Linked DNA regions of Arabidopsis thaliana. The protein of the gene in region 2 interacts with the protein of the main gene of each other region in a pairwise test. Each region holds a gene or a part of one and is shown on either strand. Other genes may lie near its edges. The genes, in order: AT5G61590, bHLH38, NTM1 and bZIP52.

What was found.
Region 1: the proteins of bHLH38 (region 2) and AT5G61590 interact in a two-hybrid assay, tested with the Arabidopsis thaliana proteins (one large-scale study listed by BioGRID).
Region 3: the proteins of bHLH38 (region 2) and NTM1 interact in a two-hybrid assay, tested with the Arabidopsis thaliana proteins (one large-scale study listed by BioGRID).
Region 4: the proteins of bHLH38 (region 2) and bZIP52 interact in a two-hybrid assay, tested with the Arabidopsis thaliana proteins (one large-scale study listed by BioGRID).

Annotation. Positions count from the first base shown.
Region 1 is NC_003076.8:24,761,781-24,769,296, reverse strand, and holds AT5G61590 (Integrase-type DNA-binding superfamily protein), read left to right. Parts: upstream 1-3,785; 5' UTR 3,786-4,038; coding exon 4,039-4,644; 3' UTR 4,645-5,041; downstream 5,042-7,516. Other genes in the region: AT5G61605 (EMBRYO SURROUNDING FACTOR-like protein), read left to right, coding at 343-406, 497-681; ERF104 (ethylene response factor 104), read left to right, coding at 1,929-2,654; PFK4 (phosphofructokinase 4), read right to left, coding at 5,470-5,637, 5,740-5,894, 5,981-6,029, 6,120-6,344, 6,431-6,471, 6,546-6,675, 6,763-6,831, 6,911-6,964 and 2 more.
Region 2 is NC_003074.8:21,080,969-21,088,464, forward strand, and holds bHLH38 (basic helix-loop-helix (bHLH) DNA-binding superfamily protein), read right to left. Parts: upstream 4,278-7,496; 5' UTR 4,127-4,277; coding exon 3,815-4,126; intron 3,686-3,814; coding exon 3,236-3,685; 3' UTR 3,067-3,235; downstream 1-3,066. Other genes in the region: PIP5K4 (phosphatidyl inositol monophosphate 5 kinase 4), read left to right, coding at 1-1,190, 1,279-1,446, 1,532-1,697, 1,778-1,894, 1,983-2,176, 2,255-2,385, 2,472-2,544, 2,629-2,917; bHLH39 (basic helix-loop-helix (bHLH) DNA-binding superfamily protein), read right to left, coding at 5,644-6,093, 6,200-6,526; EDA7 (embryo sac development arrest 7), read right to left, coding at 7,390-7,496.
Region 3 is NC_003075.7:668,405-676,787, forward strand, and holds NTM1 (NAC with transmembrane motif1), read right to left. Parts: upstream 4,386-8,383; 5' UTR 4,226-4,385; coding exon 4,069-4,225; intron 3,965-4,068; coding exon 3,693-3,964; intron 3,341-3,692; coding exon 3,215-3,340; intron 3,134-3,214; coding exon 2,630-3,133; coding exon of another isoform or gene 2,548-2,629; coding exon 2,398-2,547; coding exon of another isoform or gene 2,341-2,397; exon of another isoform or gene 2,292-2,340; coding exon 2,079-2,291; downstream 1-2,078. Other genes in the region: AT4G01535 (uncharacterized protein), read left to right, coding at 935-1,107, 1,186-1,426; NAC069 (NAC domain containing protein 69), read right to left, coding at 5,621-5,869, 5,957-6,142, 6,223-6,594, 6,669-6,809, 7,316-7,587, 7,668-7,821. UniProt on the Arabidopsis thaliana protein: Transcription activator activated by proteolytic cleavage through regulated intramembrane proteolysis (RIP) mediated by calpain or its functional homolog. Regulates cytokinin signaling during cell division.
Region 4 is NC_003070.9:2,100,955-2,108,721, reverse strand, and holds bZIP52 (basic leucine-zipper 52), read right to left. Parts: upstream 3,675-7,767; 5' UTR 3,490-3,674; coding exon 3,029-3,489; intron 2,949-3,028; coding exon 2,816-2,948; coding exon of another isoform or gene 2,714-2,815; intron 2,705-2,713; coding exon 2,620-2,704; intron 2,539-2,619; coding exon 2,204-2,538; 3' UTR 1,973-2,203; downstream 1-1,972. Other genes in the region: AT1G06840 (Leucine-rich repeat protein kinase family protein), read left to right, coding at 5,514-5,625, 5,764-5,914, 5,998-6,069, 6,167-6,238, 6,313-6,456, 6,573-6,644, 6,798-6,869, 6,987-7,061 and 3 more.

The DNA.
Region 1 (7,516 bases), on a different chromosome or scaffold from region 2:
CATTATACTTTAGTTTCCATTGAAACCACTATTTGATGGATGATTCTTCATTTATTCTTGTCGACCAAATTAAACTTCTAATGGTTTTAGGTCTGATTAGTATTTCTTTCAAAAACAATTTTCTTTTAAGAGAAAAGGTCATATTACTAAGGAATAGCAAAGAACTAAAACTAATAAAACAACTAGCTCTAAGCGTTTTTTTGTGCATCACTATAACAAGAGACGTGCACTTTTAATTAGTAGTTTAGTACTATATAAAACCCTATTACTTGTGTGGATTTCGACCAACCTATAACAAACAACGTTTCGGTATAATTTTAAGAAGAATATATCACAACAACAATGTCATCATTATATTTTGCTATCCTTTGCCTCTTCATGATTTTCCTCGTTCCTTTACATGAATGTAAGTACATACATTTTTGCATGCATATAACTCATCATCTACCATCGCAATTATAGTTAGTTTTAACTCCTATTTTCTCTTTTGTTATAGTTGGAAACGCACAAGGTTCTGAGGCGGAGCTGCAATTAGATCCATCAATGTGTCTGCGTGTCGAATGTGCAAAACACAGAAATCAAAAATGGTGTTTTTGCTGTGCCGGACTACCGAGGACCTGTTTTCTTGATAAACGAGGCTGTACGTCTGTCTGCAAGCGCGAATCTCCTTCAATGGCTTAAGAAACTTGAAGAACCCATATCTACAATTTACTAATTACGTTTAAATTTCTCTTGATATATGAATAAATATAAGTTTATGGAAAGGAAACAATTACGATTATGCTTATCGTAATTTAACATATTTTTTTTTATTTTTTTTTATGTTTATGGTAATTGTGTTACCATTGCAATTTGCATGTCTACGAATTCGTCTTGCATTGGTAATCCAATATTCCATGTGATGCTTTTCTTTCTAACTGAAGGTATTCGTGAAAACGAATTCAAGATTGTGGGAGATAATTAGGGTTTCGTCAAAAGCATGAATTAGGAAAATTTGGGATTGATTTTTTGAATTTGGGAAAAGTCCTAATTTTAATTCGATCAAAGCTTAAATGATGTCGTTTTGGGCTGACTAACGAAGTCGTTAACAGGTGCCAACGAGTGTTAAAAATCTGTTATCGCTTGATAACTCTTTGGTTTTTTAGTCTAATCAACACATTCTCATGTTTCAAACAGTTAATCAACATATTGTTCATGTTAAAAAATTAACACATGTGAAATTGATATATAAAAATATCATATATTTTCAAAAGTTGGATCATTAAATAAAATTTTTCCCTATTTTTGAAATAATTCTAAAACAGTATTAAAGATATTTCCTGAAATTGTTTGCATGTGATCGGTTTTGGACCGAAACTAAAAAACTTAGAAACTATATTAACTTTGAGTTGTCGAGATGAAGATGTGAAATAGAAATATAGGATCAATGGTTAGAATTTTGGCAAATGTATGAAGGTGTGTTTGATTGAATATTCCAAGTCCTTTGCCTTTTGGAATTGGCATAACTACTACAACAAAGTTTTGATAGGTTTTCCGAATTCTTTAAACTCCTTAAATTTTTAATACATCTCAATCAAACTCCACTTATACTAAAAATAATCCATATTGCATTTTTAAAAATTCTAAAAGAAGAATCACATGATAACTTGATAAGCACTTTTAAATGATAGATGTCCACGTAGAGGAATAAGACAAAAAGACAAAATAAAGAAAAAGGACGAAATCTAAAGAGAGAAAATAAGTAACAAGTCCAAGAAAAGGTAGTATGATCTTTCTCGGTCCGATCCTCGAAACTCCCTCGAAGGCTCGAACCCTCTCTTTGTTTTTTTACCACTATATAAGAAAGTCCGATTCCTCGTCACTCTTATTCCCACTTCCACACATACACATATACAACAGAGCAAGAGAGTCAATCAAGTAGAGTGAAGATGGCAACTAAACAAGAAGCTTTAGCCATCGATTTCATAAGCCAACACCTTCTCACAGACTTTGTTTCCATGGAAACTGATCACCCATCTCTTTTTACCAACCAACTTCACAACTTTCACTCAGAAACAGGCCCTAGAACCATCACCAACCAATCCCCTAAACCGAATTCGACTCTTAACCAGCGTAAACCGCCCTTACCGAATCTATCCGTCTCGAGAACGGTTTCAACAAAGACAGAGAAAGAGGAAGAAGAGAGGCACTACAGGGGAGTGAGACGAAGACCGTGGGGAAAATACGCGGCGGAGATTAGGGATCCGAACAAAAAGGGTTGTAGGATCTGGCTTGGGACTTACGACACTGCCGTGGAAGCTGGAAGAGCTTATGACCAAGCGGCGTTTCAATTACGTGGAAGAAAAGCAATCTTGAATTTCCCTCTCGATGTTAGGGTTACGTCAGAAACTTGTTCTGGGGAAGGAGTTATCGGATTAGGGAAACGAAAGCGAGATAAGGGTTCTCCGCCGGAAGAGGAGAAGGCGGCTAGGGTTAAAGTGGAGGAAGAAGAGAGTAATACGTCGGAGACGACGGAGGCTGAGGTTGAGCCGGTGGTACCATTGACGCCGTCAAGTTGGATGGGGTTTTGGGATGTGGGAGCAGGAGATGGTATTTTCAGTATTCCTCCGTTATCTCCGACGTCTCCCAACTTTTCCGTTATCTCCGTCACTTAAAACTTCGGAAAAGTCAACGTACGATGACGTTTTCACTTGCGTCACTCTCATGATTTCATTTATTCTTGTATAATATAAAGGTAGCGGTAGTGTGCAAATATCAAATAAGTAGTTTAATTAGTACCAATCATTTTATTCATTATTTTTTTTAGTAGAATATTTGGATGTTGAAAATATAAATTTAATTTTGTATTTGTTGATGTTATAAATTTATTGATTGTATAAACATTCTTAGTCATCAGTTTCGTTAAGTCCATATCTAAACACTTCATATCTGCTAAATAGTCAATAGATTATAAAATTGGATCAGGAAAAAGTAAATCGGAGCTATAAAAAAATAGTGTGCAACGAAAAGACAATTAATTAGTTAAAAATACATACAAATCTAAACAAATTCAAAATTTCAATAGTGGAAAACACCAATCAAATGGATAATGCTGTCGAAGATTATCTACAAAGCATCAATAAAAGTAAATAATTAATATTATCTTACATGCTATTATAAAAGATTATGAGATTAGGAGTATAATTGTCAAGCAACTGAGCAAGAGGGTAAGGTTTGGTTATTATATATGTGGAGCCCTATACGAAGTTATGTAGAAACAAAGAAATATCAAGTTGCTTCAAATCATATCCTAGCAAGACAACCCTACAAGACAAGCAATTTGATGAATTTGTCTCTCCTTTTTATTCGAGTGAAAGTCATTATCTTCTTATCTTTTTACTCGAATGTGAATATGCAAAATATCTTTTGATATTTAAGAGCTTACCTAGTGAGTCATTACTACTACGAAAATCATATATCAATCTTATCATAAAACTTTTAAGATAAAAAAAAAAAAGAAAAAACTTTTGAGAGATTGGCTTTTAAAGACTTAAGTTACGATTATAAACACTAGTAGTTCAAGTCTTTTTGGTTTTGGTTTGTGTTATGTTTTAGATTTAAAATTTCAAATGAACCTACGTCCTTAACCAACTCAATCAAAATTCTAGTTAAAAAAAATAATCACCATTTTGTTAGCATTCAGCTTAGGATTCGAACCATGGGTAGCTCAAGGTATTTTAAACTCTAGAGGAATAAAATGGATGTTAGTGAAATTTGTCAGCATCATAGACAAGATCAAGTTGGCACAACTTGAAGGGTCCTGACAAAATATCTTAAGTTGCCTCCATAAATGTTTAATGGATAAGACTTGGCCCCACAGAGTTAAACCAGAGAGACACAGAGAGAGACTTTTGACACCTCACCCATGGCTGCGTTAACACATGTTTAGGATTCCTTTCTTTATATAGCCAACAATATCATCAAAACTTTTTCTTCAAACACCACTTGCAGTTTTTCTTATTCTCCTGTCTTGTCTAAAGAAAAAAGAGAGAGGAAGAAATGGAGACTTTTGAGGAAAGCTCTGATTTGGATGTTATACAGAAACATCTATTTGAAGACTTGATGATCCCTGATGGTTTCATTGAAGATTTTGTCTTTGATGATACTGCTTTTGTCTCCGGACTCTGGTCTCTAGAACCCTTTAACCCAGTTCCGAAACTGGAACCTAGTTCACCTGTTCTTGATCCAGATTCCTATGTCCAAGAGATTCTGCAAATGGAAGCAGAATCATCATCATCATCATCAACAACAACGTCACCTGAGGTTGAGACTGTCTCAAACCGGAAAAAAACAAAGAGGTTTGAAGAAACGAGACATTACAGAGGCGTGAGAAGGAGGCCATGGGGGAAATTTGCAGCAGAGATTCGAGATCCGGCAAAGAAAGGATCCAGGATTTGGTTAGGCACTTTTGAGAGTGATATTGATGCTGCAAGGGCTTACGACTATGCAGCTTTTAAGCTCAGGGGAAGAAAAGCTGTTCTCAACTTTCCTTTGGATGCCGGAAAGTATGATGCTCCGGTCAATTCATGCCGAAAAAGGAGGAGAACCGATGTACCACAGCCTCAAGGAACAACAACAAGTACTTCATCATCGTCATCAAACTAATGGGGGAATAGTGATGTTTAATTAGTATATATAGGTTAATATCTTAAGTATGTGAAGCATCATGTATAGAGCCAAGAACCTGTTAGACTAGTGTACTGAAAAGAACTCTTGCAAAATATGTACTAAAGAGTTCCTGTAACAATGGAACTTCTGCGTTTTCTCTTGTCTTAAAGAGCTTAAGGTTCTAGAAACAAAGTTCTTGTCCTTTCGGTTTATTCAGAGTACACTATTTGGGAAGACAAGAGGACCTAAATCTATCGACTACATTTATTTATTAATCTACTGTGATACTTAAAATCGAATTTCTACCTGAAAGACCTTAACATAAGCCTTAAAGTTTCTCCAATGACACAAACAGTACCGTACAGTGGCTTCAGTATTCACTATTCGATATCACTGAGGTATTAATTAGTTCACATGTCCAGAAAGCGTGAATCAGTGAATTGAGTAGAAAGATGAACAAGTTGCAAGAGGGACCAAGTTTAAAGAATATAGCAGCCAGAGTTTTGTCTCATGGTTGGGTACAAGTCAGCATTCATTTTTTAAATATGACAAAGAATTGGATGGACCACACGCAACAGCTCAAGAGGGGAGAGATGCACAAGTTGCAATATGGAAAAGTAAACAGAGGAAGATATGTATTAACATCTCAACCTCATCGTTGAGATGGATGTTGATTATTATTATTAGGAATAACTAAAACCAAAGAATTCTTATAAGTTATAACAATGAAATTACTTCATGGTTTTTTGATAAAGATATCTCCTATGCATATATATCTAGTATACATTTGGAACAGTTGATGAATATCAACTGACCTGTTTCTTAGATAGAAGAGATCTTCATGTTATCGATCTTTTCTTGAGTTTCCATGTCGATCACATTCTGCAATGCTCCTTCACCAGTCAAGAAACTCGGTTGATTTGTCGATGCAAGGAGTCTAGCCCACATCCTATCAGTTAACTTCACCGTATTTGTCACTTCCGTCACCTGCTGCAGAAGTAAAAAATCATGGGATTAACTTTAACCACAAAGGTTTAGGACTCAATGATTTTAGTCTAAGAATGATTAGAGAAGTAAAAGAGAAAAGCTTACAGAAATTGGGATGTAAGCATGTCTACTGTTAACTGGTCCTACAGTGAAACCTGAGTACCCAGCCATTGCTCCATGAACTGCACTTTGGGCAAGAAGAGTGCAATAGACATTGTCTGATGCGTTACTCGGTATTGCTCTTATCATATACGTTGGGTCTGTTCAACAAGTACATGTCAATGAAATGCACAGAAGAGTGTTAACTGTTGTTAACAAGATAGAGACAGTGAGTCTGAAGATATACCTATGTACTTCATATTTATCATCATTTTCCGAACATTTGTAAAGTGATCCTGCAACATAGTGGTCACAAGATTCATCTTGAATGTTTGAGGGAAAACATATAGAAACCATTTTCTTAACTTTCGAGTTTCGACCAATACCTTTATCTGTTGAGTCAACCATAGACCAACATCAAGCAAGAGTCTATTTCCTGAGGCGTCTTTAGTTTCAGATGCACGCATGCTTTGAGCAACATAATCCTGTCCAGCTCCTTCAGCTATCACAATAACCATGTGCCTATTCTCTTTGAGTCGTTCTTCAATAAACTCAAAGAGCCCACCCTTTCCTTCAAGAAAAAATGGAGACTCTGGAATCAAGCAACAATCCTGTCACATTTCAAAGCTCCCATTGTTATACACCACAAATAAAGAAAGTTTATAGTGACAATTTAACAATCAAACTAATCTATTACCACATCACGATTCGCTAAAGTTGCAATCATGGCAATAAAACCTGCAGAATTTGTACCACAAGTTAACTTCGTATTCACAAAAGAAAGTAATCAACATATGTCACAGAATATTTACCACTGTATCTGCCCATGAGTTTAACGATACCAACTCCATTTTCCACGCTCTCGACCTCTACATGTGCAGCATTAATAGCTCGTTGTGCTTCCTCAACCGCCGTATCAAAGCCAAATGATTTGTCAATCACCTAGAACAATGGATGAAGAAGATGTATAAGAAACTCCACATGAGAGAAAAGTAGACCTTAAGTTGAAAATTATCAATGGGTATTTACAGCAATATCATTATCAATTGTCTTAGGAATGCCAGAAACCGCCACTTGAAGACCACGCCTCTCAACTTCCTTCACAAAATATGAAGCAAGTATCAGTAGAATTACTAATGCTACATTCAGCATTCAGTAATATGTGATATGAAATAACCTCGTATATCTTCTCTGCACCCTTTTGCGTCCCACCACCTCCAATAATATATACCTGACATACACATTGACAAAATATTAGGATGGCTCAGCTTCAATACAAACTAAACTACATAAAAATTATGGACAAAATGGAAATCAGTTATGTTAGCTACCTGATTTATTCCTCTATCTTGAATATTATCAACAATCTTCGCTGTATCATGTCCTCCTCTTGAGGTTTGAAGAAAAGTGCCACCGCGTTTATGAATATCGTTAACTACTTTAGGTGTCAGGTTCATAGTGTTTTTGGAGTAAAAGCCTCTATATCCTCCCTGAATGCCGAGAATGTTATTAACACCATACATATTGTTCAATCCACATACAATTTCCCGTATAACAGTATTGATTCCAGGGCACAAGCCCCCACAAGTCACTATGCAAGCTTTTACTTCATCTGATCTGAAGTACACCTGTATAACCAAAAACTTAACAGGTTTCAGTTGCGAAAAATCTCACAAAAGTTTAACACTTTAAAGAAGAAATCATACTCTTTCTCGAGGCCCTGCTCGCCTAAAGTGTACTCCTCGCTTACTTCCCTTCTGGACTACAATCTAAAAATGAGGGA
Region 2 (7,496 bases):
CAAAGCTGTGTTCTAAAGGCTTGGGAGGTGACCGTAAGAAAGACCCAACAAGCGAAGAAGCGTGCAAACAGCATTTTTGGGACGGTATCTGTAGCTCCACAGACAGATGATGATGCTACTACTACGACTGAGGAGAATGATGATGAGACCAGCACTAACAGAAGCAGCATAGGGGAATTGTACCATGCAGAGAGAATACTTCCTAATGGAGACTATTATACAGGGCAATGGTATGATAGTTTTCCTCACGGGCATGGGAAGTATCTTTGGACAGATGGTTGCATGTACATTGGTGACTGGTACAACGGGAAGACTATGGGAAGAGGGAAGTTCGGGTGGCCTTCTGGTGCCACATATGAAGGCGAATTCAAAAGTGGATACATGGATGGTGTTGGCCTTTACACAGGTCCTAGTGGAGATACTTATAAAGGTCAGTGGGTGATGAACCTGAAACATGGACATGGAATCAAGCGTTTCGCGAATGGAGATGTGTATGATGGTGAATGGAGGAGGGGTTTGCAAGAAGCCCAAGGAAAGTATCAGTGGAGAGATGGGAGCTATTACATGGGGGAATGGAAGAACGCTACGATCTGTGGCAAAGGTACTTTTATTTGGACGGATGGGAATAGATACGACGGATTTTGGGATGACGGTTTTCCTAGAGGAAACGGTACTTTCAAATGGGCTGATGGGAGTTTCTACGTTGGTCATTGGTCTAATGATCCGGAAGAGATGAACGGTACTTATTATCCATCAGGAGACGACGGGAGTCCTGAATGGGATCCTAAAGACGTGTTTACTAATCTGAGTGAGTACAAGATCTGCAGCGGAGAGAGAGTTCCTGTGTTGCCTTCACAGAAAAAGCTATCTGTTTGGAACTCTTCCAAACGTGTCGAGAAACCGAGGAGGATGTCTGTTGACGGGAGGGTAAGTGTGGGTGTAGATAGAGCGTTTGAGAAGATGAATATGTGGGGAACCGAAAGCGGAGAAGGTGCTGCTGATATTGATTCCACCACGAGGAGGGACTTGGATGCTGAAATGATGAGACTAGAGGCTGAAGGGTTCATTCAGAGCCTGAGACCGAGCCCTGCACCTATGAGATTGCCAAGGGCAGGGAGGAAGCAAGGCGAGACGATATCTAAAGGCCACCGGAATTACGAGCTTATGCTTAATCTACAGCTTGGAATCAGGTAAATATCCCAGTTTGCTGCCTCATTTATACAATTTGAAGTTTTGTTGATGTATAAGCGCTCATGTGAAATGTATTTGCTTACGCAGACATGCTGTTGGAAAACAAGCTCCGGTTGTGTCTCTTGATCTTAAGCATTCGGCTTTTGATCCAAAGGAGAAGGTATGGACAAGATTTCCACCAGAAGGAACCAAATACACACCTCCTCATCAATCTAGTGAATTCAAATGGAAAGACTATTGCCCATTAGTTTTTAGGTGAGATCAAATAACATTAGGCTTTACTTATTTCCCATCTGTACGTATTCTCACACACTGTTATGCTAATTTTATCTATCTTTAGGAGCTTGAGGAAGCTATTCAAGGTAGACCCAGCTGATTACATGTTATCGATCTGCGGGAATGATGCCCTTCGGGAGCTATCATCCCCTGGTAAGAGTGGAAGCTTTTTCTACTTGACAAATGATGATCGTTACATGATAAAGACAATGAAGAAGTCTGAAACTAAAGTGAGTTTGTTTTATTTTAAAATGACAAGATGAAAAATATGTAGCTGCTATTAACTTTATTCTGGAATTATATAATGCAGGTGCTTCTGAGGATGCTTGCAGCATATTACAACCATGTTCGAGCATTTGAGAACACTTTGGTCATTAGATTCTACGGTCTCCACTGTGTGAAGTTAACTGGACCAATCCAAAAGAAGGTAAGAATTAAGAACAATGCTAAACAGACAAAAAAACTGAGACTTGGATTTTGATTGAATATATCATCTCCTTTATTGCAAATTGCAGGTGCGGTTTGTCATTATGGGAAACCTATTTTGTTCTGAGTACTCCATCCACAGACGCTTTGATTTGAAAGGATCTTCTCTTGGCCGTACAACCGATAAACCTGAATCGGAAATCAATTCAAATACAATTTTGAAAGATCTTGATCTGAATTTCATTTTTAGACTACAGAAAGCTTGGTACCAAGAATTCATCAGGTTGGAGATTCATCAATCATTCTCTTTCCATTGACATTTTTCATTGTTATTTATTATGCTGATTGTGTTTTTGTTCAGGCAAGTCGACAAAGACTGCGAGTTTCTAGAACAGGAGAGAATAATGGATTACAGTCTTCTGGTTGGGATTCATTTCAGAGAGGCATCAGTCGCTGGAGAGCTGATTCCTTCTGGAGCTCGCACACCTATTGGTTCGCTTTCCTAACAAAACCAAATATCATATCTCTCCTTTGAAACCCGTGAAGCAAATGTATATGTTTCTTTCTCGCAACTGCAGGTGAATTTGAAGACGAATCAGCCCCTCGTCTCTCTAGAGCAGACGTGGATCAGCTTCTCTCTGATCCTACAAGGTAAACACAAAACAAATTAAACTCAATCCTAGAAAGCAACTTTCTCGATTTCGGTTTTAAGAATAAATCTGTTGGCTGTTGCAGGTGGGCTAGTATCAGACTTGGAGGCAACATGCCGGCTCGAGCAGAGAGGACAATGAGGAGAAGCGACTGTGAGTTCCAGCTAGTTGGCGAACCGACAGGAGAGTACTATGAGGTTGTCATGATCTTTGGAATCATAGACATTCTTCAAGACTATGATATCAGCAAGAAACTAGAACACGCTTACAAGAGCATCCAGTACGATCCTACTTCAATCTCAGCCGTCGATCCGAGGCTGTACTCGAGACGTTTCCGTGATTTCATCTTCAAGGTCTTCACTGAGGATAATTGAAACAAGTCTCTTCTGTTTCTGGCTTTCACAGCTTTTCTTGTGGCTCAAGAAAAAAGGGCTTAGGTATATATATACACTACTACCTTTTTCTTTTAAGTTTTTAAATGTTCTGATTTTCTAATAAACTATGTAACAACAGTTGACATCTGTAGCAGTGAATGTTTTTTTTTTCTCTGTTTATATTGTTTTGTTCAATCAATATTGACTCAGTACACAAATGATTTGGTCCAGATCAGTGTTAGATTCATATGAGAAAAGGACACAGCTAAAAAGAAATGAGAACTAGTGGATAAACACACCATTATATGAATTAGTCACCTAGTTAAACGAGTTTTCACATTTCTCGTACAAGTACAACATCCTTTCACTTAATTCTTCGCAATTAATCTTGTAATCATCCATATTCTCCACTTGAAGATGCAAAGTGTAGAAGAGCCTCTCTCCTTGAGATCTTGATGATGAAACATCCACAAGAACAAACCCATCTTCTTCTATCCCACCCAACACATTTGATATCGAAAAGTTATGAATCTTGGACGATGAGACTTGGACCATCACTTCGTTGTCACCAAGCCTAGTGGCAGAAACCGTTGAGAGATAACTCGCGACCGCCTTTGGTTGCTGCTTATCGTAAAGCTCAAAGTCTCTTTGACCCGATACTCGTACCAAAATTTCTTCCTTCTTTTGTATTAGCCTCTTCACTTGCTGTTGCAGCTCTGGTATGTACTTTAAGCTCTTTGAAACCGTTTCAGGAATACTTAGCTTCTTCTGCAAGAAAGTAAAGAAAAAGAAATAAGGGTTAACTCGGTGTTCTTCTTTAGAATTGTATAGCTGTATAGACGAGCTTATTAGAAACAGATGTAGATGACATATCAGAGTAGCTACTAGCGATCTTACCGATTGATCAGAAGCTGGAAGACATGAACGGAGAGATGAGAACAAAGTGTTGATCTTCTTGCGTCGGTCACGTTCACTAGCATTGTGATTAAGCTTCTTGACCACAACCGGATTGTTGTCTATCTCATTTCCTTCTGACGAAACAGATACTCCCAAGCTATTCTGATGATGAGTCACTTCATAAGTCTGTGGTACCGTCAATTCAAGAAATGTGCCGTTATTTAGGTTATCTCCGGCACCGTAATAGCTTTCGTATTGATTCGTTGACGGCCAACCGAAGTTTGTGAAAAATGAAGGGACTAATGCACACATTTTTTGCTTAATCAAGGACAAGGTTATTGATTCTGTTTTTTTCTTGAAGTTGTTTTGGTAGGAATATTATAGTCTCCTGATTATATATGCGGATGAAAGACTAAAGAAACAAATCTCTGTTGTTAAATATTGTTCAACAAACTATATAATAAGTGTTTTTATTCGTTGAGATTATATGATTGTGTTATACGACTTACATACTATAAAGAGAAATATTTAGGTCTCTATAGGGCATAGGTTGGCACGTGTCGAAGCCTATGTTCCACGCATGAACTAGGTTTAGTCACAAGCTCAGCATATTGTGTAAGAATCAAACATGTATATGACACGATAGTAAGATTATTGTTTACACATTGAAAGATGACTCATGCGAGTGAGAATGTTGAGAGCTCGTGGTAATCAGGTGGAAGATGCTTTGGGCGTCTTTACTTCCTCGTCCCATACATTTTTTATGTTGTAAGCATAAACTAGCATTTTCATGTTGTAAGCATATACATAAGCATTTCAAAATTTAATATCTTTATCTAAAATAAATGTAACCTGGTTATTTTAATTCCACAATGACGATGGTCATTTTATATTCTAATGTCAACTTGATCCCATTTGTGTCTAAAGTAATATATTTTCTGATTTAGTTATTCTTTCACGAATGGATCAAAAATATTCCAAAATTGTATATGTGATTGTGAATCAATGAAGTTTCCAACATTCGTTTCGTGACTCACATTTTCTAAGCTAATATGATAATCTCCGAAAGCTACAGTTATCATCATGTAAATTCATATCCTTATTCGATCTCATATATTTTATAACCAAGCCAAGTAAACCAATACATTTCTTCTTCTTTTTTTAAACAAACATAAACTAAAAATCCAAAGATTTAACTCTTTCAAAACCAATACTCCAAACTTTTTTCTGTGATGCCACTCTGATTAAAAAAACTGCCTCTAGTATATAATAACTCCAAGATCAATGGATAACCCTTTGACAAAAAAAGGATCAATGGATAACCACATGGCTTCTCATTTATCATTTATCCTAATAAATCTTAATTAACTCTTTAATGTCACCACAATCTATTAATTCATAAGTGCAACTTGGCTTAATTACATAACTTATCTTCTAAATTGGAGCCCATAGACTCTTTACTATAATGTTGCCCACAAGTAGTGATATATAGTAGTTGTTAATAAAATACCCTCTTTTGTCTTTTCTCGTTTTTATATTCTATTGATACACCAAAACATCACTAACTCTAGTCTTAACTGGATATAAATAACAAGATATACATAAACAAATTTTTTATTAGTAACATTCAAAGTCTAGGCGAAAATTAAAGTTTATAGCTGTAACATGAACTTCATAATAATCAGTTTATACTTAATAGCATAACTAATCGATCATTGACTTCGACCAAAAAAACGAAACAACTCGACTACAACGCTTTGTCAAGAATGTTAGATTTCGAAGAGAAAAAGGACGACATAACATAACTATAAAGAAACAAGACCAAATTCTCATATATATGAGTTTCCACATTCCTCATACAAGTACAACATCCTCTGACTTAACTCTTCGCAATTCAGCTTGTAATTTTCAATCTTCTCCACTTGTAAATGCAAAGTGTAGAAAAGCCTTTCTCCTTGAGACCTTGAAGATGACATGTCCACAAGAACAAACCTATCTTCTTCTAACCCACTTAAAACATTAGATATCGAAAAGTTATGAATCTTGGACGATGAGATTTGGACCATCACTTCGTTGTCACCAAGCCTAGTCGCAGAAACGGTCGAGATATAATTCGCGACGGCCTTTGGTGGCTGCTTAACGTAACATTCAGTGTTTCTTTGACCTGAAATTTGCACCAAGAGCTCTTCCTTCTTTTTTATTAGCTTCTTCACTTGCTCTTGCAGCTCTGGTATGTACTTCAAGCTTCGAGAAACCGTCGCAGGAATGCTTAGCTTCTTCTGCAAGAAAGGAAAGAAAAAAGGTTTAACGCAGTATTCTTCTTCTAAATTGTATAGATGCATAAACTATAACGGGTCTAATCAATGAGTCGGAGTAGCTTCTTACCGATTGGCCAGAGGCAGGAAGACATGAACGGAGAGATGAGAACAAAGAGTTAATTTTCCTGCGACGGTCACGCTCACTAGCATTGTGATTAAGCTTCTTGACGACCACCGGATTGTTGTCTATTTCATTTCCCTCCGACGAAACAGAAACACCAAAGCTATTCTGATGTTGAGTCACCGCTGTAACAGCTCCATAAGTCTCCTCCGGTACCGGAAAATCAAGAAACCCGCCGTTGTTGAGGATATCTCCGGCGAGGTAGTAGCTGTCGTACTCTCCCGTTGATGGCCACCCAAAGTTTGGAAACAATGGAGGTACTAATGCACACATTTTTGCTTACTAAGGACAAGTATTGTAGATTCTGTTTTCTCTAGATGCTTGGAAGCTGCTTTGGTTAGGATTGTTCTGAACTTAGGTAGAATATTATTGTCCAACGTATATATAATGCGGATATATACAATTCAATATATCAATCTCTATGGTTAAGTATAAATTAACAAACTATACTATTATACAACCAAAACTTTAAAAATTCGCAAACTATATTATAAGTGTTATACGACTTGTACTATAAAGAAGAATGTTTGGATCTGAGGACGTAGGTCGACACATGCCAAAGCCTATGTCCCACGGGTGAACAAGGTCTAGTCACAAGTAGACTGGCTATATAAAAAATTAAAGAAGAATATTACATGTATTAAGTATTAGAGTTTACATATTGAAAGATGACTCAGCCTGAAGAAATTGTGGAAGACGCGTGTAAATCAGATTCAGGCGTCTTCCTAGTCCCAAACACTTGGATGTTGTAAGCATATACATAAGCAATTCTCATGTTGTAAGCATATACATAAGCATTTTATTTATTTGTTGACCTCCCAAAAAAAAAAACCAGAAGCATCTTCTTTAATTACTTTATTAAATCAATGTTAGCTTTGTTAATTTAGCTATTAACAACCCTCGGTCGGTGATTTATCATGCGGATTGATAAATCATTATCGAACTAGGGTCAACTTTAGGTCATCCTCTTTCCAATCAATTACCTTTAGCCTCAAGTAAGCAAATTCTGTTGTGCTGATTGAAGACCAGGTCAAAAATATTCCAAAATTGTATATGTGATCAATTAAGTTTCAAGATTCTCAATAGTAGGTGACACATTTTTCAAATCTAATAAAGCCCCTGAAAAGCTACATTTATCATTGCCGGCCTCTTCCACGCCCACCACCACGGCCACCTTTTCCCCGGGAACCGCCGCCTCCTCTCCCTCTAAAACCACCACCTCCTCTACCTCTGAAACCGCCTC
Region 3 (8,383 bases), on a different chromosome or scaffold from region 2:
CAAATTTACAGCATGATCGGACTTCATTAAAAGCTCCAAACGTTGTCATCAACAAACCATCTCGAACTGTCATTTAGGGGTTCCTGCATTTGACAGACTTTGCAGTTACTTGTCATGAAAGAAACGTGCATAACTTCTTGAATATATACTCGATTCCAATTCTGTCAGCGGCTATGGATTCTTGATATCGTTATCTTTCCAAAGACACCTTACACCTTACTTGAGTCTCTCTGATGCCACTGGAACGATCCTTACAAAACCCCATCTTGAAACTGTTCTTCCTCCCTCTTTTCTCTTCTTCTTCTTTCTTTGCTTCGCCAAGCTTCAATCTGGTTCGGTCTTCTTCACTTAATACTTCTGATTAGTGTTAAGAACATGAATCACTTTCCCACTGTTTCTCCTTCGTGGTGGTGATGATTTATCCTCCGTCATGTTTCCGCCTTCATCTCCGCTTCCTTCTCTTTTTCTCTTTCACGATCTTCTCAATTTTTATTCTTCTCCTTTCTTTTCTTTCCAGATCATGGCAGTTTGGTTATAGAGAAACAAAACACATTGATGTTGGAAGAAGACATGAACAAAGAGGTGGAACATCAATAGGTTCTCTCGACGTTGATAATGCGGAGATTACGACAACGATAACAAAGGCTCACGAACTCACGTCTCAACAATGATGATGGTGGCTGACTTAGTTTAGGACTTAAATACCCCAATATATATGACACTTACAAAACCCTTGTTGTTTGTCATCAAAAAGAGATTGGGCCATTTATGAGCTATATCATAATGTCAAAACAAATTGGCCCAACTATGTGGGAGTGGGGTGTTACAATTATACTGCTTGGTGGTTTGTTGGAAGATATGGAGGATTGAGCTTGAATTTCTCCTTTGTGAGAATCATAATAGCTATATTAGGCAGCAGGGATTCAAAGATATGATGGTAAATGGATCTTTTGGGATGAAACTGATGCTTATAGAGAGCCTGAACTTACTTAAGAATACTACTGTTCTTGAAGACCAAGGGAAATGGAATTGTGAGTTTGGAAGCAAGTTGTGGTTATGCACTAGAAGTGTAAAGGACAAGATAACAGGGGTGGCAAGGGAAGTCACGTCTCTTCACCATTAAAGAACATATGGTTACTTTTGTTTTTTGAAACATGCTTTCAGGTTATCGTCCAAAGGTTTCAGTCCAGAGCTTCAGTACAAAACACAATGTGATGCAATTAGATATAAGTGGGGTTTGGCAACTCTTGATGGTTTACATTCAGATTTCGATTCAACCGAGAACTTCATTGGCTTCATTGAGCTAGGCCCAGATCTTCGCAATCGAACGGTTGAACCGGACACACATCCAACATCATTGAGAGCGGGTGATGGATCGTATAAAGTCATTACCAATGCTTCGGAGTTCCACTTTCTTCCACCTTGAGGACAAGCTGGCTCTTCACGAGGGGAGTATTGATAGAAACCAAAACTGAAGATGAGTGGGCCTTAGTGGGGCTTTGATTAGGCTTAGTGTTAAGCCCAATTTCCTCTTATTGTCTTCTACTTAAACTCTTCTTCGTCTCTGTAATGGTTATCGAAAACGATCAACAACAATATCTAATCTAAATTTCTCTCTTATCTATGTTCTTCTCCACCTTAAAGATGCAATACTTCTCTCCCTCCATTTCTTTCTGTTCTTTTCATCTTAGATAAGTTCCAGAGCTTATCATTCTCTATGAAACACAAATCGAATGATAGATTGAATCAATGTTCATAAAACACGGATTCACTTCTCAAATTGCTAGAGCATAGAAGAAGAAACAGCTCAAGCTACAATGAGGAAATAACCATGAGAATCCATAGAGAATTCTCATAGAAACAGAGAATGGAGAAGAAGATAACAAACTTTCACAATTTTCACGATAAAATTCAATTCTGATCTTCAGCTTCCTTTAAAACCCAACAATCTCTGATAGCTTCATCTCAGCCGTTGATTCATTTTTTTAATCATCACCGTCCATGTGTATACTCTTCTTAGTCCTCCTTTTCCTATATCAAACTAGTGCTTTGATCGATCTGCTTTGCCTCTCTCGCGATCATAACTTCTTCACCGGGATCAATCTTTTGACGGGTAGTAAAACCGATATGATGTTGCCTATGATCATCTTCATGAGATAGATAAATCGTGGTTTCTTGCGGTTTCTCTCCATTGCGTCCTCTACAATAAACAAGCCTTTCTTCTCTGTTTTCACCAAAGATGACTCATTGTTCATGGGTGCATCAACAGCTCTTGGGATTTCTTGTTTCACCTGAAAAGGAAAATCACATAATCATCATCTTTAAAGTCCAACATATGTTTTAGATTACAAGATACAAACAAATAGCAACAAAATCAACATAAGAGCAACTCAAGACCTCTTGTGTTAATTCCCGGATCTCTCTACTGATTATTGAAGGATCTGTACAAGTTTGTAGATCTTTGCAAGAGTCTGTGCTTGAGCAACTTGACAAGTGTCTACTTGAACTACCAACACTAATATTTGGACTTGATGTTCCTTGGTAACTCTGTCAGGTTAGAATGGAAAGCTGAGAATACAGAATATACTCCAGGGAAGTAATGATAAAGAAAATGAGAGATGTGCTTTACCGTTGTAGATATGGATCCAGCATCACTGCCACTATCGCTGCTATAATCAATGGTCCCTGTCACAGGTTTCCTTGGCATGTGATCGTTGCGGTTCTCTTGCATCACTAATTCGTGATCGGGAGGATTCCCTTCGTTATAACCCGAAAATGCATTCAAATAGCCATCGCCGTAAGGCGTTAGTTGATGATGCACGTTAAGGTTATAGTTATTGTTGTTGTCGCTGAAAAAGGTGTCTGCGTTAAATCCCTCCCACTCAGAGAGATCCTCTTGTTGGACGATCATTGGGATTCTCAAGTCATTCATAGACAAACCATCCATGTTTTCTTCATTGGCAAACAAATATTCAACCGTCCCTCGATCAACATGCCTCAATCCACGTATAAACTCATCATCATTCGGAGCTAAGTGAGGACCTTGTGGCTCCTCTTGTTGGTTCATTGGTTCTATCAAATCATCTACAGACATACCCAAGAGATTTTCTTTACCTGGCTGCTCAACCTGAAGCTGTAAAAAGAGACAACAACAAGTAAAGACACAGGTTGATAGTAATGAATCATAATGAAACATCTCAGAAACTGGACTCACCTCAGGTTCCGGTTCTCCGGTAATCGCTATGACGGTATGCGAATCGGATACCAAAGAGGGACTTGGCTCATATGAAATTTCTGCAGCTTCACCCTTATACTTTACTTGGCAGACAACATATTTCCTCTGAACAAATTCCAAAAGGTACACACATCAATCACAAGCTTTGGTAGAAGCAAAAACACTCTTGAGACTCTTTAAACAACAATAACACAGAACCTCAAATCAAACTAGATGTATACTAAACAAATTCCAAAGGTTTCACACACACAAGTTCTTTGCCAGCCAAACAACAAAAACAGAACACACATCAATCAAACAACTCAATCACAAGCTTTGGTAGAAGCAAAAACACTCAAAGTTAGAATCTTTACACAACCACAGAGCTCAAAAATCCCCAAATCAAGAAGAAGACAAAAATGAGCAGAATTCAAATGGAAGATACAGAACCAAAAGAGCTCTGAAGGATTTGTTATACCTTATGATGAGGCAAGCAAGTGATGTGATACTCGTGCATAACCCAAGGAGTTCTAACTCCATGAGGACTCTTACCTTCATGGTACACAAGCGTCTTCTTAATCCCTATCACAACACCATTTCCTCTTTTATCCCTAATTTCCCGATCAACACCAGTAGGTTTCCAAAACCCAGAACCTGTCGTCCTCTTCATTTTCATCTTATTCGGGTTCGTGTACTCAATCGGAGAGAAGAAATACCATTCAAGATCTTCCGATTGGATCCTAGCTAACTCTGCAGCAGCAACAACAACAACAACAACAGAAAGAACCCAAATTTAGAAATGATCGATGATGATACAAAGAGAGACAGATCAAGATCATTCATAATAAACTTACTAGGCAAATCCTTGCTGGGTTTGTGACTCAAGATGTTGATCTCGCTAATAGCTTCATCAACGAGCCAATACTTACCCAGAAGTTTGTTCTTTAGGTAATGGTTGATCACTTCCTCTCCCGTCGGACTAAATCTATACCCAATCAGACCTTTCATCATCTTTTCACACAGAAACAGATCGAAAAAACAAAACTTTCTAAAAAAAATTCTAGGGTTTGGGTGAAGGAATTTATTTTTTTCTGCTTCTCTGTTTTTTTTTTTGGCTTCTCCCTCTCTCTCTCTGTTTTTCTTTCTTTTTCAAATACAAGTAGGAAGTGATTGGTGAAGAGATAGCGAGTGATGGTATTTATAGTTTTTTTCTATTTGAAAAAAAAAAAAAAACCAAATTTTAGTAATTTCTCAGTAAGTAAAGAACAAAAGCCGTGAAGTCTACTCGCGCCGAAACCGTGTTGATGACTTGTGTCTATTTCTAAAATGTTTTTTCTTTTTAGTTTTTTGTTAAATTTTTTTTTTTCGTTTCAATTTAATTTTGTAAAAAAATTGTGTTTAGTAACTTTTTATCTTTTGTGTTTGTCACACATCAGCCGTAATTTTTCACACATTTTAAGATGAATGAAACTCCAAATTTACAACGATCGGATATTTAGATATCAATTATGTATTGGAAGAAATGTAATATTATGTATTTTATAACAAATTTACTACTGTTAATAAATAAGATAGTTGAAAAAAAAACAAAAAACAAAAAACTGTTAGCGATAAGATTTTAATTGAATGCAAAATGTTTTCCAATAGGTTGACAAATTCTTTAAACAAAAACAAAAAAGGTTGACAAATGAGAGGAACAAAATTTATTTTTATTGTGAATGAGAATGAAGACGTGGCAAATTATTGACGGTTCATTGTCGGAGCTTCGAACGAAAGTATGAACCTTTCTCTTTTCCTTGTTTTTTTTGTGTATTTTGAGTCGAAGGATCTTTCGGAAATTATAGCCGCCACCATCGACGACGACGACATGGCGTTATTACTTTCTCTACTTCAATATAGTACTACTACTAATTTTGTAAAATATATGTCTATGGATTTGGCTTGCAAGATAAGGGATTAAAGTTTACAAAAAACAAGAAAAAGGTTCATAGAATCATATTACATAGTTGTAAGTAATATGATTGATTGATTGATTGATCATCGAAGTAATATTTGATTGATTGATCATCGAAGTATCAATCACATTAGACCAGTCCCTTGTCCGGTATGTAATCATTCTCTTAATTATCAACAAACCAAATCTTTGAGAAACCTTTCAAACCATTCACTGGTCTCTGTCGAATGTTTTCTTTATCAGCAGTCTAATGCTCCACCACGGCACTGAACTATGGACCCGCTCTAAATGTTATAAAATTTTCAAACCCTAAATTTTATTTAACTTTAGGTACAAGACATACCTCTTGGTCATACATACACACACATATATACATCAAAATTTCGGAAGAAAATAGAAATAAATAAAAGCAAAGTAAAAACGAGTGCTTTGATCAATCTGCTAGCTTTTGTCTATCTCTCGCGATCAAACTTCATCGCCGGGTTCAAGTTTTGTAACACCGATATGATGTTGCTAATGAGAGCCAGCAAGAGAATGAAGCCTATGATCATTCTCATGAGATAGATATACCGTGGATTGTTGCGGTTTCTCTCCATTGCTTCCTCTGTAATAAACCAGCTCTTCTTCTCTGTCTTCACCATAGATGACTCCTTGTCTATGGATGTATCACTATCAACCGCTCTTGATGTATCTTGTTTCACCTGTGAAGGAAAGTTACATAATCATTATCTTTATATATCCAACATATGTTGAAATCATATAGAATCAACATAAGAGCAACGCAAAACCTCTTGTTTTGGTCGTATGATGCTTCGTGTGAGTTGAGATTGCCGGGTGCTACTACTGATGGAAGGTTCTCCATAGGTTTGTAGATCATTGCAAGACGATAGAATCTCATCTCCACCAGTCTGGAGAAATTGTCTATTCGAACTACCAACACTATCATCACCTGGACTTGATGTTCCTTGGTAACTCTGACATAATATAATCAAAATGTGAGAATGGAGATTACAGCACAGAAGTAACGATAAAGAAAACGGGTGATTTGCTTTACCGTTGCAGATATCGATTCAGCATCACTATTACTATCACTGCTATAATCAACAATAATCCCTGACAAAGCCTTCTTTGGCCTGTGATCGTTGCGGTTCTCGGTCATAGATAAGGTTGGTCTGGATATGAAATCTTCATTGGCAAACAAATATTCAACCTGCTCTCGGTTAACATGCCTCAATCCACCGAGAAACTCATCATCATTCGGGGTTAAGTGAGGAGCTTGTGGATGCACAGTAGGATTGTTATTGTCACTGAATAACATGTCTGGATCCAGTACATCCCACAAAGAGAAATCTTCTTGTTCATTCTTTGGAGTCCCCAAATCATCCACAGACATACCAAAGAAATTTTCTTGACCTGGCTTCTCAAACTGAAAATGTAAAAGAGAGTTTTGAGTAAACGAATCAAGTACATGAGATTATCAAATAAAGAAACTGGAGTCACCTCAAGCGCTGTGGGACTCGTAGCTCTGACAGTATTCGAATCAGAGACCAAAGATTGACTCGGCTCACTCGAGTTGTTACCACCAGATGGGACGTCTCCATCTTCACCCTTATACATCACTTGGCAGATAACATAGTTCCTCTGAACAAATTCCAAAAGTACACACACACATAAGTTCTTTGCCAACAAAACAAAAAATCAAACACACATAACTCAAACAATCACAAGCTTTGGCAGAAGTAAGAACACTAGGTTACAACTTCTATACATAGCGCTTAAAACTCTGTGACAACACAGAACGTACTAATGATAGCAACCAACACAGGGGAGATTACAGTAATATATTCAACACAGGGAAGCAAATACACTAGCCTTCTAGGCCACAACTTCTATATATAACACTTCAAACTCTGATACACAGAACCTAAACTTGATGTACTAAGCATCATAGGGAAAAGATAAGTCAAACCCAAATCTATTCTTACAAGAACATGACTTTAACCTCAAATTGGGATAAAGATAGCAACCAACACAGGGACAGATGAATCAAACCCAAATCCAATTCAAGAAGATCAACTAACAGAAACATAACGCTAAGTCAAACTAACACAGAAGCTCAAATTCAAGAAACTCTGAGTTTATTATACCTGATCTTGAGGCAAACAAGTGATGTGATACTCATGCATAACCCAAGGAGTCCAAACACCTTTAGGAACTCTACCTTCATAATACACAAGCGTCTTCTTTATCCCAATCTCGCCGCGATTACCTCTCTTATCTTTGATTTTCCTATCAACACCAGTAGCTTTCCAATACCCTGAACTTGTAGTCCTCTTCGTTACCTTCTTCTTCGCAGAAGTATACTCCTTTGGACAGAAGAAGTACCACACAGGATCATCCGATTTTATCTTCGATAAAGCTACAACAACCAAACAAATCCAGAATTAGAAATGACCGATGATGAGACAACGATGATGATTTTGAAGTGAGGAAACTTACAAGGCAAGTAAATTGGGTCGTAACTACAGATGTTGATCTCGCTAATGGCTTCGTCGACGAGCCAAGTCTTACCCAAAATTTTGTTCTTTAGATAATGGTTTATCAATTCCTCTCCCGTTGGATAAAATCTATACCCAACCAGATCTTTCACCATTTTTTTTACACAGAAACAGATCAAATAACAAAACTTTTTGAATCGACACTGAAAATTTTTTAGTGTTTGAGTTTTAAGGGCTTTTTCTCACTTCTCTGTTTCTTTCTTTTTTCCTCTATCTATTATTGTTTTTTCTGAAAGACGAACAGTACTAATACAGTTGGGGTGAAGAAGAACCATAAAAAAAGAAAGAAAGATATTTGTGGCGGAATGCAGTAAAAGTATATTAATGTTTTTCCCCTAAACGTTGACAAATGAGAGGGACAAAAAAATATTTTAATTGTGTATGAAGTAACACGTGGCAGTAAGAAAAATTGTTTGAACTTCGAACCGAAGTTTCAGTTTTTTTTTTTCCTTTCCGAAGGATCTTTCTGGAATATTATAGCCGACATAATTGACAACATAGTAACATACATATACGTAATTACGTTCTATACTACACCTAAATAATCGTAATTAATTTTTAGATTTGTTTTTGTCAATCCTATTACATTATCATTAGAGATGTTCAGGATTTGAATGCTTACGGCGGTAAAAACGGTCTATAATTGATCCGCGACGA
Region 4 (7,767 bases), on a different chromosome or scaffold from region 2:
CGAGATCGAGTAATTGTTTCAGGCGGGGAAGCGAAGAAGCGAAGAAGATGGAGATCTCCCAGAGGAGAGGAGAAGGTTTTGGTCGAAAGCAGAGAGAGTCTTCTTCTTCTTGTTGTTGGTTGAGTTGAGTCATCAATTACATTTAGGGCCAAAAATGGGCCTTTAAATATACAATTTCTATTCATAATATCCCATAATTAAATACGCAAGTATCAAAAATGGCTATAACATTGACAAAAATAAATTAGAATTATCTGATAAAAAGATGGTGGAGTGGGTATTTCACAAAATTACAATTGTGAATTTTGTTGTACTGAGCAAAATTGTTTAATACATTTTTAGATGTACAATTAATAAAAGCACACGATAAATTTCATCGTTTTTTTTTCAATCTTTTGCTCGTAAGAACATAATTTTTTAAGCCGATTTGAATTTTAAAGTAAAGACATTAGCACAACCTATGTTTCTTGTCAGTTGTCACATATTAACATTTGCTAAAGATATTTTGGTGTTTATAAATCAACTATAAGAAAATAATATATAACCTAGATATATGAAATAATGAATCATGTATAGACCATTTTGATATCCCTATAATACATGGTAGACATGTAGTTATGAACTAGAGACGTAACAAGGTAAAGGCTCTGGGACCGGGCGCAGGAGTGTGTATGTGGAAAACTATAAAGAAAGTGAATGACCGCAGCACATACGTCATCTCTCTCTTAAGGTTCGCCCGAAGCTTCGTTGATATTTCTTAATTAATCAGTATTATCTTTAAATAATTAGTCGTTAACTTAGTTGGGTTGAGTTTGACCACAACCTAATTAACAAAATGGATTCTGTTTCGTTTTTTTTTCTTTTAGCCAAACACTAATCTCTCGTTGTCTTCCCAAATGCTTCTATTTAATCAAATATTTATATTGTGCTCAAGATACATCGAGGCTTCATACGGATTAGAATTTGTCTATCGGCATGTTTTGTTTTGTTTTTTCATTTTTTGGCATAGTTTTGTGGGGGCAATTTACTTGTTGAACCCTAGTTTACATGTATTCTCTTGAATTTCTCACAATTTTCTCAAATTTCGATTTCATAGAAAGTTAGAAACAAACACTCACAATTCACAAATTCCCACTGGCAAAAGATGAAAAAGCCCAAAAAATAAAATTACGTATCGCCATCAAATAGGGCCTATTGGTTTAAATGTGGTTTTATTGTATATCAGATATTAAAACAAAACAATTGTCATCAAAGCACCAGTGGTCTAGTGGTAGAATAGTACCCTGCCACGGTACAGACCCGGGTTCGATTCCCGGCTGGTGCATGAGCTGTGAAGAAATTGGCTTTAGCATTGGTTGGGTCCAATGCATTCTACTGAATATCAGTTGATATTGCCCCATTCTGAGCTCTCTCCTTTTTTTTTTGGAAGTTATTTTGCGAAATAGACCGAGCTTCTCCAAGGACGTCCACAGTCCAGAGAGTAGATGTTTCGTCTGATAACATGGTAACAATGTTCTAAACTCTCCACGTTCTTATTGTTATGCATGTTCTATTGTTCTTGCTAGCTCAGTTTGGAAAGGTTGGAACTTTTGTTGGTTCTCTCCAACAATGGGTCTTTGCTTAAAGGTTGAATCGTGTTAGATGTCTTTCAAAGGTCGAATATTTTCGTTAACAGTCTTACAGAGTCTCAAAAACTAATCTCTCAATGCTTCGTCTCTCATTTCAACTCCGACTCCAAGTTTGGGAAATTTTGTCTCATGGAGAAGTCCGGTTGGGAGAAGTTGTCTCAAAACTCTAATGGGATGACGGATGTGAGGGTGTCTTGGAGAAGAAGCTACTGAGGAACTGCCTTGGTGTTGTCGTATCAAAATCATTGATCCCAAAATCAAACTATTAACCCAATTGGAATGAACTTATTAAACATCTCCATCTCCTAGTAAAATAAAACAAAACGTAGCAAACATCATTGTATACAAAAGAAAAATGAAATTTATTAGTCTCCTTTGTTCCTTGAAGAACAAACAATGGGAATAGCAAACAACGAAACTCACGACACATAACCAACACAAATGTATACGTACGTCCTTTCTTGCACAATGGCACCTCAAAAAAAAGAAAGAATAAATAATCAAAAGTGAATCAAATGAATTGAAAAAAAAAAAAACCTATTAACAGAAAAATGAGCCTCATCATAATCTTGTCGTCAATAGGCAGAGCTACTCTCACTAGCAGAGAGAGAAGGTCCTTCAGATTTGACTAAGCTTGAGCTATTGCTACTAATCTCCAGCCCTTGCATTCGGCCGTTCTGTAGAAAGTCCGACACGCTTTGAGAATTGGACATCTCCATAGGATTGAAACTAGAATGCATCTGCATATCATGGAGGTTCATTGAGCCATGATATGGTGGAATAGCCATGAAAGTTGAGGAAGAATACTGAATCTGCTGCATTCCCATATCAAACGAATCTGAATTACCAGAGATTTCTCCTGTCTCCATCTTCATCCTTTCAACTTCTTTCCTCAACGCTTCGTTTAAAGCTGTAACATCAAAAAGCAAATATTGAAGAAATGCACCAAAATGCATACAAAGAAATTAGCTTCTTTTTTTTTTGTGCTTACCATTACGAAGCTGAGCTTGTTGTTCCATTGCTTGCAACCTAAGTTTCAGCTCTGTGTTTTCGTTTGCTAGTCCATTTGTGTCTCTCTGGATCAATCAAAACAACATTGAAATCAAGATCTGTCTATGTATGTAAAACAGAGGAAAGAACTTTCCTATTCTGTTGGGATCAAACGAGGAATCGCCGAATATGGAAACCTGGTAGAGAGTAAGCTGAGCAGAGAGAGTGGTAGCTTCGGTTTGAAGAGATTGAACTTTGCGCTCAAGTTCTTGAATGTATCGAGCTTTTCTCTCTTTGGATCGAGCTGCAGATTGTCGATTCGCTAGAATCCTGTAATCAAATCCCTAATTTCATTGCAATTCTTCAATTCTGTGGAAAGAGAAACAAATTTGAAGAAGAAGAAGAAGGACCTTTTGGCGCGTTTGGGATCGATGTTCCAAAGCTCAGAGAGTTTTTCAGGAGGCATAGCTTTCTTAGCGTCCATGATATCACCGGCATACATGGCGCATCCAGCGTCAACGGAATTGCTGTGACGGTGGCGAGGACGAGAGGAAGGAGGAGGAGGAGGATTAGCAGCGCCGGAAACGGAGTTGGAGGAGAGGGAAGGATTTTGAAAGGGATTGGGATTAGAGGTGAGGCTATCGACATCGATGAAAGAAGAGAAGAGATCGTCGTCGGAGGGAAGGTCGTCGGAGGAAGGTGGTGCGGCGGAGGAGAGGGGATCCATGAACATGAACATGGACATATCGTCGGAGCGAGATCGGCGGTGGAAGGAAGAAGATGGAATCGGATCGGCATTAGGAATTGGATCGGAGGAGGGGATAATAGTGGCGCCGGGCTTTGGGACTGGTGGAGGATCTGATTTCTCCATTTTTTTAAGAGAATCTGAGAGATGAATGCTTTGGTTGTGTGAATAATTATGATTATTATTCGCAATTGAGAACAATGTCAATGGAGATAATGATGGAGATGAAGAAGACGAAGCTCTTTCTCTCTCTCTCTCTCTCTCTCTCTCTCTATCAAATGAAATGAAATGAAGAGCGTAGGAGAGAAACTCGACTCTGTGAGGAGAGAGAAGTGACGTCACTAACTATAAAATTGCGAAATTGAGTTGATTTATTAATAATTAAAAAGAAAACTAGTTGATGAAAAGTAAAAGGCACATTGGCACGTGAACCATCGCAGCATCTTGTCTCCCTCCCTTTTTTTTTTATTTTTTTTTCCTTTTTCTTTGTATTTTATTTAATTATTCGATTTCATGATTTAAATTTGTTTAACTTTAAATCTTCTTTGTAGCATTCATTACAAGATTCTGTAGTTGCTTCAACGAAATTTATTAATTTAAGCTGTTATGGCATTACATCTCCCCACGTCTGAGTGTATATTTTTGTATCTTTGAGTCAAAATTTTAACAAGTAAAAAATAGGCAGAAAGCCTTGTATGAACTGAGAGTCTGAGAGAATGTTTTGTGGGATAATAAGTTGGTAACTTGGTATGGAACTATCTATGGATTGGGAAACAAGTAAAATTCACTTATAGTGAAAAATACTTATTGGTTGGATCTAAATCATACGGAGGCCTTAATTATCAGGCCCATACAAGAAGACAAGTATTGTTTTGTTTTAAGAAATCCTCGAGCATATAATGCGCCTGTAGTGGACAGGAGGATGTTTTGGGCCTTCTCTTAAATTGGCAATTGGGCATCACTTTGTTTACCGGTCAAAATAATTAAAAAGATGGTCGTATTGATCGCTTTAAGTAATAAGTTTTTTAGTTAAGTCTCTCTAAATTGTCTTAAACGCAAGTAGTGGACCGGCATCATTTAATAGTGATTCAAATTAAAAACCTAATGATGCTTACTTTTACCAGCTAAAGTTTCTTTTGTCTTTTTTTTTTTTGTTTTATTATTATTTATCAACATACTTGTGAATTGTGATTCTCCCTTTTTTTATATATAAATAATGAACATACTTAAGATATAGTTTCTCCCATTTATTGTCACCTAACGGGTATTTTTTAAAACCAAATTCTGTTGGAAAGTTCTTCTCTAAACATAAATAATATATAGCTCATGTCTATGCTTTTTAATAGTGCCCATTGTATTTCTTTTCTTATTTGAGTAATTTATTCCAGCTGTTTCTTTTTTTTCCCTCTCGTAATGATACGACATAGTGACATACATCTTCTGTTTCTTCTTTTTTTGTTCAAGAAAATCATAATGACTACAGGTAATTAATCACACTTCTACAAATCAGTTGATAATCAGCACCATTTTCCAATAAAAGTCGATACTTTGGAAAATTTCGTGACTTTTAGTATCGTGGGGGCCAAAATGCACATAAAGATACGATATCGATGACCAAATTGCCATATACTATATGATTCCAATATACCAATGATTGCTACTATTTGCTAATGGTATACGTTTTTAAATTTTAATTAATACATAAAAAAAAAATCAAGGTGGGATAAAAAGGTAACTTTATTGACAATATTTGGAAATTCATCGCACCTGGCAAGAGATTTACCTACTGTCATTAAAAAAGGATTAAAAAAACGACAAAAAGGTCAAAGACAGGTCAGACAAGGAATCATTAAACAAAGGAAGAAAAATAGCAAGTAGAATGGTTTTGACGGAAGAAGGTGGTGAAGTTATGGCGGCGGCGCAACGGAAACTTATGATGACGCTCTTCCGTCGGTCTCATCCATTACCTGAAATAGTCAAACTTAGAAAATGTCGTATTATCACTCTTCAATGCTCCCACCCAATACCAACTACTTTCCTCTTTCTTTGTCTTGTGTTTCTTACTTGGTCATGGCCTTTTCCTTCTAAACTCTCTCTCTCTCGAGATTTCGTTTTTTCCTTGGGTCTCCTCTGTTTCCTCCTCTCTCGATATGTTTTCGACCCATCATGTCTCTCGTCTCCTCATACCTCTGCTCTTCTTCTTCCTCTTCTGTTGCTTTTCTTCTACTTTTGCTCAAGACGACATCACCAATCCCGTTGAAGGTTTCTTTTTTGTTGTTGTTGTTGTTAAAAGGCTTTGTCTTTGGTGTTAGATCTTCAGACAATTTGTGTCTGTGACAATGGGTTTTCTTAGCTTTCGACTGATTTGGTACTGATCATTGATGTTTTTTTTGGTTTTAGTGAGGGCTTTGCGAGTGATCAAAGAAAGTTTGAACGATCCTGTTCATAGATTGAGAAATTGGAAGCATGGAGACCCGTGCAATTCGAATTGGACTGGTGTTGTCTGCTTCAACTCCACTCTTGATGATGGTTATCTTCATGTCAGCGAATTGTATTGTCTTCTTCACTCTTGCTTTTTTCTTTTATTTGGTCTTCCTTGAGATTTGTTTGAGTTAGCTTTGTTTATACTTGTAGGCAATTGTTCAGTATGAATCTCTCAGGGAACTTGTCTCCGGAGCTTGGCCGGTTGTCTCGTCTTACTATCCTGTACGTGTTTTTAACACGATATGTTGCTTGATCTTTTGTCATACTCAATGGTGAATAACTTTCTTTTTGTATTGTACAACTTCTTCTCTAATGCCAGGAGTTTCATGTGGAATAAGATCACCGGAAGTATACCAAAGGAAATTGGGAATATCAAGTCCTTAGAACTCTTGTTAGTCCAGGACTTTGTTGTTTACTTCCCTGCTTTATTTGCTTTGGGATTGGCTGCTAACTTCACTTTTCCAGGCTCCTGAATGGAAATCTGTTAAATGGAAACTTACCAGAGGAGCTAGGGTTTCTTCCAAACTTGGACAGAATACAGATTGATGAAAACCGTATATCAGGACCACTTCCCAAATCTTTTGCAAACTTAAACAAAACGAAGCACTTGTGAGTTCTTTAATCTGGTGTCGAGTTGTACTTGGCTGTTTCAATATGGTGATTCCTTCTCCCCTTGAATATGTTACATTTATTGCTTTTTTTTGGTCAATCTTATCTTTTTCCAGTCACATGAACAATAATTCTATTAGCGGGCAGATACCACCAGAGCTTGGAAGCCTACCATCCATTGTTCACATGTGAGTTGGTAGCAGTAGCAGGCTTAAATGATTTTACTTGAAAAATGCTATGTTTTTTACCTAAACTCAGTTTTCATGTCTAGAACATGCTACACACGCTTTACCTATTCAATGTTTATGAACATTTACTTTTTTTTTTCTTTTTTCTTACAGCCTTCTTGATAACAACAATTTATCAGGCTATCTTCCCCCTGAGTTATCAAACATGCCGCGTTTACTTATCCTGTAAGTTTATGTCACAGTTTCTGTTGATTTCCCTGGTCCTGTCACCATAAGGACTGGTTACCCATGTGTTTCTTCTTTTCTTTTTTTTGACCTTTTTCCTCATGTTTATTTTGGCAGACAATTAGATAACAATCACTTTGACGGGACTACGATTCCACAATCTTATGGAAACATGTCTAAACTTTTGAAGATGTAAGTGATAGTTTCATTATGTATCTGAAATCACTGATGTGTGAGGCTGGAAGGGCTGTCATCTTCTATTAATGCATTCAACAATTCAATACGAAAGTCATGCATTGGATTTGAATTAACCTGTGGGAATAGTAATCAGCCATATTTGAGCTAATTAGGATAGTGCATTCTAAATGTAGAGATACTGGTTGTCGTTTTCTATTTTTTCCTGATCTTTTTGGGCATAAGATACATGTGTATGCTATGCTAACTTATGCATATTTGTCGTATGCCCACGGGCAGGAGTCTTAGGAACTGCAGCTTGCAAGGGCCAGTGCCTGATCTTAGCAGCATACCGAACCTTGGTTATTTGTAAGTCTTATAACTTATCTAGACGCTTCCTTATATAGTCGTGCAAGCCTTAGCGAAGGCGAATTAACCTCATCTATTTCTGGTTGTCGGACATGAATTCCAGGGACCTAAGTCAAAATCAGTTAAATGGATCTATACCTGCAGGGAAGCTTTCTGATAGTATCACAACCATGTAAACTTTTAGCGCTTTTCATAATTCTGGCCTTTGATTTAATCCGGGCAATGTACTGGGATTAGTATTCTCTTTTTGGGGTTGGAAATGAAGTGCTTTTAACTTTGATATCTTCTGATGAAAATACTGCAGCGATCTATCCAATAACAGTCTAACTGGAACCATTCCAACAAATTTCTCAGG